2 linked regions of the Elephas maximus indicus genome follow. The protein of the gene in region 1 purifies or fractionates together with the protein of each later gene. This does not show direct contact. Links are inferred from orthologs where the notes say so. Each region holds a gene or a part of one and is shown on either strand. Other genes may lie near its edges. The genes, in order: ACBD6 and NMT1.

What was found.
Region 2: the proteins of ACBD6 (region 1) and NMT1 purify together in Homo sapiens (co-immunoprecipitation; 3 studies listed by BioGRID and IntAct, with this or other methods). This does not show direct contact. The link is inferred for Elephas maximus indicus from reciprocal best matches to the Homo sapiens genes ACBD6 and NMT1.

The regions. Positions count from the first base shown.
Region 1 is NC_064842.1:43,554,416-43,558,333, forward strand, and holds the start of ACBD6 (acyl-CoA-binding domain-containing protein 6), read right to left. Parts: upstream 2,925-3,918; 5' UTR 2,219-2,924; coding exon 1,994-2,218; intron 1-1,993. UniProt on the Homo sapiens protein: Binds long-chain acyl-coenzyme A molecules with a strong preference for unsaturated C18:1-CoA, lower affinity for unsaturated C20:4-CoA, and very weak affinity for saturated C16:0-CoA. Does not bind fatty acids. Plays a role in protein N-myristoylation.
Region 2 is NC_064837.1:51,465,756-51,469,673, forward strand, and holds the start of NMT1 (glycylpeptide N-tetradecanoyltransferase 1), read left to right. Parts: upstream 1-1,010; 5' UTR 1,011-1,048; coding exon 1,049-1,179; intron 1,180-3,918.

The sequences.
Region 1 (3,918 bases):
CCTAAGAAATTAAGGTTCGTATCTCCGCTTGTTTGTATCATCTTCCTGCCTGACCACCTTACCTCATTCATTCAGCCTACAAAACAGGGTGCTATCTGGAATTGAAAATGTTTTAAAGAAATGGTTTTATGAGAAATTCTGATCCACTGTGCAGGCATTATATTGGACTTACAACTTCGTTATTCTATTAAAGATGCTATTGTTAAAAATGAAATATTTATAACAGACTGATGAAAACTGTAACCCAGCATCATGCCTAAGCAAGCACAATCTGATTCTCCAGTAATGAAGAATTTTATTTTCGGATACAGAATATCTCCAAACACCCTGAAATCAAGTTCTGGAAATGGTGAAGATCGCTCTTCCTTCAGACTGTGGGGATGAAGTGAGTATACCTGAGACAGAATGGTTATAAGCTGACAGGTTATTGTGGTTCACTGGTGACTCAGAAATCAGGCATTTAATAATGATGATGCTAATATCAATAAATATACATTCTATAAAGAATAAAGAACTTCTCTAAGGAATTTGGAGAAAATTAGTCTTGTATTGCTCAGAGAATCGTCCATCAGTCACACATGTGCCACAGTGCTCAGTAAATACGTGTTACATAATCAAAGGTTTCAGTCTAATGTTGTTAGAAAACAGTAAATGACTGAAGGGTAAATAAATATCCAGACCTTTTGCAAAAAACAACCTCCAAAGCCAGTTTTGGGGGCAATTTTCATTCAACACTGTGATTTATACCATTTGTACCTACAGCTATATCTCTCAGGCCACATTAACTGATATTCAGAATAATCATCACCAGTCTTCAAAATAAAGTCCATCTCTATTCAGTATATTCAGTTTAAGAACACAGGGAAAATGTATAATTATATCTTTTAGAATGATTTCCATCAACAAAAGTTAAAATACAAGAGACCAAATAAAGGTTAAAAATATATATATTTTAATAAAATGGGCTATTATCCAGCACTCCCCCCAAACAGCCGGAGTTTACCTGAACTGTTATTAAACTCTTGCACTGATTTGCTATTTGTTCACATCTAGACCCTCCAAGTACTCTGTAAGCCTCTGGAGGGCAAGTAGTGCCAAGCTTTTGCTTCTGCATTGCATTCCCTGTAGGCATAATACTTGGTTTGCAGATAAAGATGCCAAACAAATATTTGTTAATTTATAATGCAATTATTTTTCCTTCCATCACCTAACCAGTTATTCTTTGACTGATAAATTAAACATGTCTTATATGAATTACTCATTCATTTACCCATACATATTTCCAGGTAAAGTTCAGCACCTTAGACAGAGGAGATATAATCTAGTTCTAATTTATTTGTATGACCCTGGGCAAGTTACCTACCCTCTTTGGGCTCTGGTTACTTTTTCTATAAAAGAAGGGGATTATCTGATCTGGTCTTTACTAGATCTAAACTTTTTATGATTGTATCTAACAGAAGAAACATTCAGCCAAAACCTAAGTCTAAGGAAGTTAGGATTAAAAATAATAATAATAAATAACAATAATAAAAGTAGTATTTTGTTTTTGTATTGTACAATTCTATTTATTACAATCATGTCATTCTCCTGGATTGCAAAGATTTTTATTAACATTACCATATGTATTTCCATCTAACCCTTTGGCAATAGCGACTGATAAATCTTATTTTATCACCCTCATTTTGTAAAGGTTAAGGCTCCTGGAAGCGTATGTGCAAGGTCACTGAGCAAGTCGGAGAAGACAGAAAAACTGTCAGTGTCCAACCAAATATCACTCCCAGGAGAGTACACTGGGCCTTCCCATGACCAGAATGATGCTAATCCCCAGCAGATGACTAAAACACAAAACAAACACACATAAAAACCCAAAACACACACACACAGAAACTCCATTACACCTACCCATTAACCATGCAGGGTGTTACCGGTTTTTGGAGGAAAGAGAAGGCCCCCTTGTCTCTCTCCCACAGCCACCCCTTCCCTGCGACTTTACCTGCTTGTATCTGGCATACAGGTAGAGGAGCTGCTCCCTGCTGGCCACCTGAATCAGGCCTTGGAGGTGCGCTGCAGCCTTCTCGAACAGCTCTGTCAGGCTCCCGGATGCCTCGGTCTCGGGGCTCTGGAGGGATCCACCGACATCACCGGAGTCGTCCCCCGAGCTCAGCTCCCCGCCGAGGCCGCCCATGGTGGCCCCCGTGGGCAGGAATGGCGAGGCCATGTCACCTTGCTCGGTCCGTCCTCTACGTCGGGTCTGTCCTCCTCAGGACGGGTGTACCGCCAGCTCGGGGGCCTCGGGGACCAGCCTCGCTCCTCAGCCCGAGCCCGAGGCGGACCCAAGCTCACCTGCTCCGCGCTCCCTCACGGAACTCTGCCTCGTCCCACCTCCACACCTGGGCGCGCACGACAGCCGCTGCTACGCTCCGCAGCTCCCTCCCGGCTGATCCGGCCTCCCCGCCTTCCCTCCGGCCAGCGGAGCGCTCAGGCTCGCAGCAGGTCCCTCAACGGCGCAGAAGGCGGGACGCAGCGGAGCTCCCAGGTACCGGAGCCCAGGCAGCGCGCGGCGGCAGGACAGGCCGGCGGAGGGGCGGGCGGAGGCGGGGCAGCCTGAGCGCTGAGCTCGCGGCCGGGCACGTGCCCGGGGCTGCGCGCGGCGACGTGCGGCGCGCTACTGGTTTGGCCCTGCTCAGCGCTGGTAGGGGAAGCGGGGCGGGCCTACGGTGGACGTCTTCCCCTGCAGAGAACTCGGGGGACCTCGCTGGGGGAACGTTGCTGGACACAGGGTCTTCGGCGGTTGGGGCGTTCGTTAATCGTTTTGTTGAAATTCGTAGTCACAGACTCCGGAACCCGTCCTCGGAATGGGTCGTCGGTGCCGGGGGCGTGGGAGAAGGAGGCCATCTATTCGGTAGTGTAGCGGTCTGAGTAGAGTCGCGGGAAACAGAAAGTGAGAACCAAGGTTCCGCTTGTGCCCGCCTCTCCACCGCTGTGGCCAGCACGCCCCAAACGGGCGCGGATCCCTGCGCGCACATGTGGTGCTGCTTAAGGGTTTTCCTGTGTTTTGAATGTATGGGATTGGTTTGCGTGTCTTACTTTCCACACCTGCCGAATCCTTCAATTCTCAGAGCTCTAAAATAAGCTTAACTGGGATCCCTTCCCTTGGCACCAGTCTCTTCCGAACTCAGTCTTCGTAGCTGTGCTTTGTAAACAGTATGAAGTGAGACCAGAAAAATACGACATAATTCTGTCCTAAAGAAACTTTTAAAAAATGCAAAAACTATGGCATTAATAATAATGGTTAACATTTACTGAGTGTTTCATTATGTCCTAAGTGGTGGTGTAAAAAAAGAAAAAAAGGTACTGTATTCACTTAGTACTCAAAACACTCTAATAAGCATCATAAGAATGGTAGAAAGTGTTATAAAGAATGGTTATTGCTCATTCTGTGAAAAAAAACTTGTTGCCGTTGAGGCGGTTCTGACCCATAGCGACCCTATAGGACAGAGTAGAACTGCCCCATAGGGTTTCCTACGGGATTTGAGCTGTCGATCTGTTGGTTAGAAGCCTGAGCTCTTAACCACTGAGCCACCAGAGCCTCGTTGACCATTTAGGGTTAGACTTTAGACAGGTGAACGAAGATAAGGACAGGACGAGGGAACAGAGTGAAAGAAGGCAGGAAGGTGAGACAGCTTGGATCAGGATTAAACAAACATTCCTTGAGTGCCCAGAAAGTGCCACTGTTATTCCCTGCCCTCAAGACACTCAGTCCAGTTAAGGAGTGGCTGATAAAATGAACACACTTCTGCAATCAAATAGTGATAATAATAATAACGACGTATTGGGTCTCTTACCGTTTAAGGGACTCAATCCTTACTACATAAGATAGGTACTGTAATTTCTATTTTACAAACAGGGAATAGAGTA
Region 2 (3,918 bases), on another chromosome or scaffold:
CTAAAGCATTCAGTCAAGGCTACAAATAAATTAAAAAATTGCAATTACCTTCTAATAACAGATTTCCTTGGGTAGATGTGCATATCAGACACTGGAACTTTTGTGGTGGTAAAGAATTCAGAAGGCCTAGGGGCAGATAAATCCCCATTTGTATACTGACTTCGCCACGTATTAGCTCTGTGACTGTGTGCAAGTGACCAATCTCTCTGGGCCTCATTTCTTCATCTGTGAAAAAGAGAAATAATAATATCATCCGCATTCTAGGCTTGTTGAGAGGATAAAATGAGAGAATGTATGAAAAGCCTTACCACAGTGCCTGGCATACACGTGCTCAGTAAAGAGTAGTTGTGGAGTGCTGTTTTGGAGAAAGAAAGGGAAAATGTGTGCAGAAAGGCTGAGTGGAGATCAGCACGTGAAGGACAAGAAGCGACGAGGCCCGGCTGAGCAGTCAGGTCTCCTGCCTCGCGAGGCCTTGAACTACCAACGACCAGAGATTGCCAAGTGTGCCGAGGGAGGAAAGCGGACAGGGGCCAACCGGACTTCTTGCAGGAAAGTCCCCTCCAAGGCCCGAACCATGCGAGCTCCGGACGGGTCGCATCCACCGGCCGCTGGCCCTCTCACTTACCCGGGAATGGTAACGGTCCTTAACGGCAGCCAATAACGGCTTACCTGTGGCCTAGGCAATAGCAAGGGCAGGCTGAGGTCAAACCTTGGATTTTGAAGCCTCCACACCTGGAACCCTAAACTACCATCGAACTACAATTCCTAGCATGCCAAGCGGTCACCCCGGCCCTTCTCTCCCCTAAAGCGCGGCCGAGCACCTAGGGCTTCCGGGTATTGCTGCCCCGCCCAATATAGAGGACACCGCCCCCCATGATTTCTGGGTACTGTAGTCCACTCGTTTCCGTTTTCAGGGAATAAGCCGCACCTAGTTGCGGGCCATCCATCCGCAAAAAAACTACAAAACCCAGAAGATAACGCAAGTTTCTCTCGTCCAATAGGAACTCCGCATGTAGCGCGGCGCGGAGCTCGGCTCTCGCAGCTCAAGATGGCGGACGAGAGTGAGACAGCAGTGAAGCCGCCGGCACCTCCGCCGCCGCAAATGATGGAAGGGAACGGAAACGGCCATGAACACTGCAGCGATTGCGAGAACGAGGAGGACAACAGCTACAACCGGGGGTAACGAGATCCTCGGAGTTCAGTTCCCGTCCAGTCTCCCCACAACCTGGGTTTTTGGGGTGCGGGGAAGTAACCGGGAGCTTAGTCTAACCCCACCCCTGTATTCTTATTGGCTAAGGGATTGGGATCTTGCCTGGCGATTGGTTGCCGTTTTTGTCATTCACCAAAGGTGGGTGTTCAGTATATCGAGGGCCGGAGACATTCAATACTTCCATTATATAAAAGTTCTTCTGTGTGATGTTCCACTCGTGTGCTTGAGGTGCGTCTGAGGAAAAGAACAATTTGGACGATGGTTTTTGATGGCACAACCCGGGGCAATCCAATGACAGTACAGTTCAAAGGGAACGTTACCTGTAGAGGTACTGTATGAACAGACTGATTAGCAATAAACGAATAATAAAACATTTCCTCTAGTTCCCCTTCAATGAGGAAATCCATCAAGCTATACAAACCGTAATTATATTGTAAAATATTACTACTAGAGAATCCTAAAATATATACTGGCCTTAAAAATCCTAGGTAATTACTGTATGATAATGTTTTGAGTTATACGGTGTCCGTTGCTCCAAATAATTCATGTTTCCTGAACAATGTAATTAGGTCTTCCCACATCCTTGCTCTATTAACTTTGCGAAGTAGCCTCAAGCTTCGAGAAATTGAGTGATGTTGCTTCTCGGACAGTTTGGAAACTGTGGATTTAATACTGCATCTTATACTTTAGAGTCTTGCTTACTAGTAACTGCATTTCTTCTTTGGGAAGAAGAAATGCATCAGGCTTTTGAGTATTGAGTTCTTTTAAGCCACAGCCTATCATTCTTCTTTCTTCACATTGTTATGGGGACTGGCACCCTATACCAAAAAACCCAAACCAAACCCGTTGCTGTTGAGTCAATTCCGACTCATAGCGACCCTATAGGACAGAGTAGAACTGCCCCCATCGGTTTCCAGGGAGCACCTGGTGGATTCTAACTGCCGACCTCTTGGTTAGCAGCCATAGTTCTTAACCACTACCTAATCTACTATATTCACATATATATTATTAGTCGTGAGACACTGTTTTGGCTGTATAATTCTGAGTCTGTGGTAGTCTGATTTTTCATAGCCAGCTTGTCATTTGCAGTGCTAATGGTAGTCCCAGAGAAGAAGGTTGAGGTTTTTGGAAACTTTCTTTTTTTTCTTAATTCTGCTACCTAGTGGGGACTGGAGAGTGAAGGATTACTTAAGTAGTTTATAGTCTGCTTGTTGTGATGAATCTTTATAGCTTTTATGTTCTTCCAAGAGCATAAAACTCACACAAAGAACATAGAGGGAAAGGTAGCTTGCCAAATTTAGGTTTATAAGACTGTGTTCTGTTGCTGTAACTCACAACAGTTCTAATGTAATAAAAGCCTTGTTTTGAAGTTTGAGATTCCTTAGAAGAGCTAAGAAAGAGGAAGTAGGAACAGGAAGAAGGGAAAGTGCAGCTTTCCTAGGTAGAGGTTAGAGTCAGAGACGAGAGTTATTGAATGTGAAAGTCATTTCAGAAGTGAAAATATGACTTTTTCATTGTTCTTTGCGTAGTGTGCTTTGAGTTTTCTCTGCTTAAGCCATTGCTGTGATCTGTGTCTATAATTCTTCAGTAGGTTTTGTTCCCTACATGCTATGAATCACTTTGCAAAACTGTCTGGCAGAAAGTTTTGTGTTCATGGTACAACTAAGTGGCAGCCTAAAAAAAAAAACTTTGGAGATGTTTTTGTTGTTGTTTTTGTACATGCTTGTGGCTTGGGTAAGGAGCCCTGGTGGGGCAGTGGTTAAAGCATTCAGCTGCTAGCCAAAAGGTAGTCGGTTTGAACCCACCAGTCCCTCCACAGGAGAAAGATGTGGCAGTCAACTTCCAAAAAGATTTGCAGCCTTGGAAATACTATGGGGCAGTTCTGCTCTGTCCTATAGGGTCCATGTGAGTAGGAATTGGGCTTGTATGTTTATGGTCTGGTTGAGTTAAGTTTATTAGCATCCAAAATCTAGAGGTCTGTGAAAAACAGAGGACCCAGCCTGGAGGAGAGAGTCCGATTCTGGCACTTAGATAATAGAATCTGAGGTAGAATCAACACTTTTCAATTAATTGTCAGAGGAGGTTTGGGGAAGAAGCAGCGTGACATGGTGGGAAAAGCATGGACTTTGGAGTCATTCATACATGGGTTCAAAGTCTCATTCTGACACTTGATGTGTGACCTTGGGAAAGTTACTTAACCTAGACTTGTGGGGATTAAATGAGATAACATCTGGAATGCAACCCTCTGGCTTTGCATCCTGCTCTTCCTTCAAATCTTCCCCATCCCCTTCCCCTAGCTGCCTCCCTGCTTTTATCACATACTGTATTTTTCATAGCTTTTATCAGAACAGTAATTAAATAACCCACTGCCATCCAGTTGATTCTGACTCACAGCAACCCTATTGGACTGGGCAGAACTGCCCCATAGGGTTTCCAAGGCATTAACCTTTATGGAAGCAGACTGCCATGGCTTTCTCCCATGGAGCAGCTAAGGAGTTCGAATGACTGACCTTTTGGTTAGCAGCCAAGCACTTTAACCACTGCACCACCAGGGCTCCAATTAAATAACATATTTGATAACTTTGTATAACGTGTTGGGTCCCTACTTCACCCAGTTGTAAGGTGCCTGAGAAAAGGGATTGTGGCCTTGAGATGCTTCACATTTAGTGGGCATTATTGAGTGTTTCCTGGATGAATGAATGGCAGGT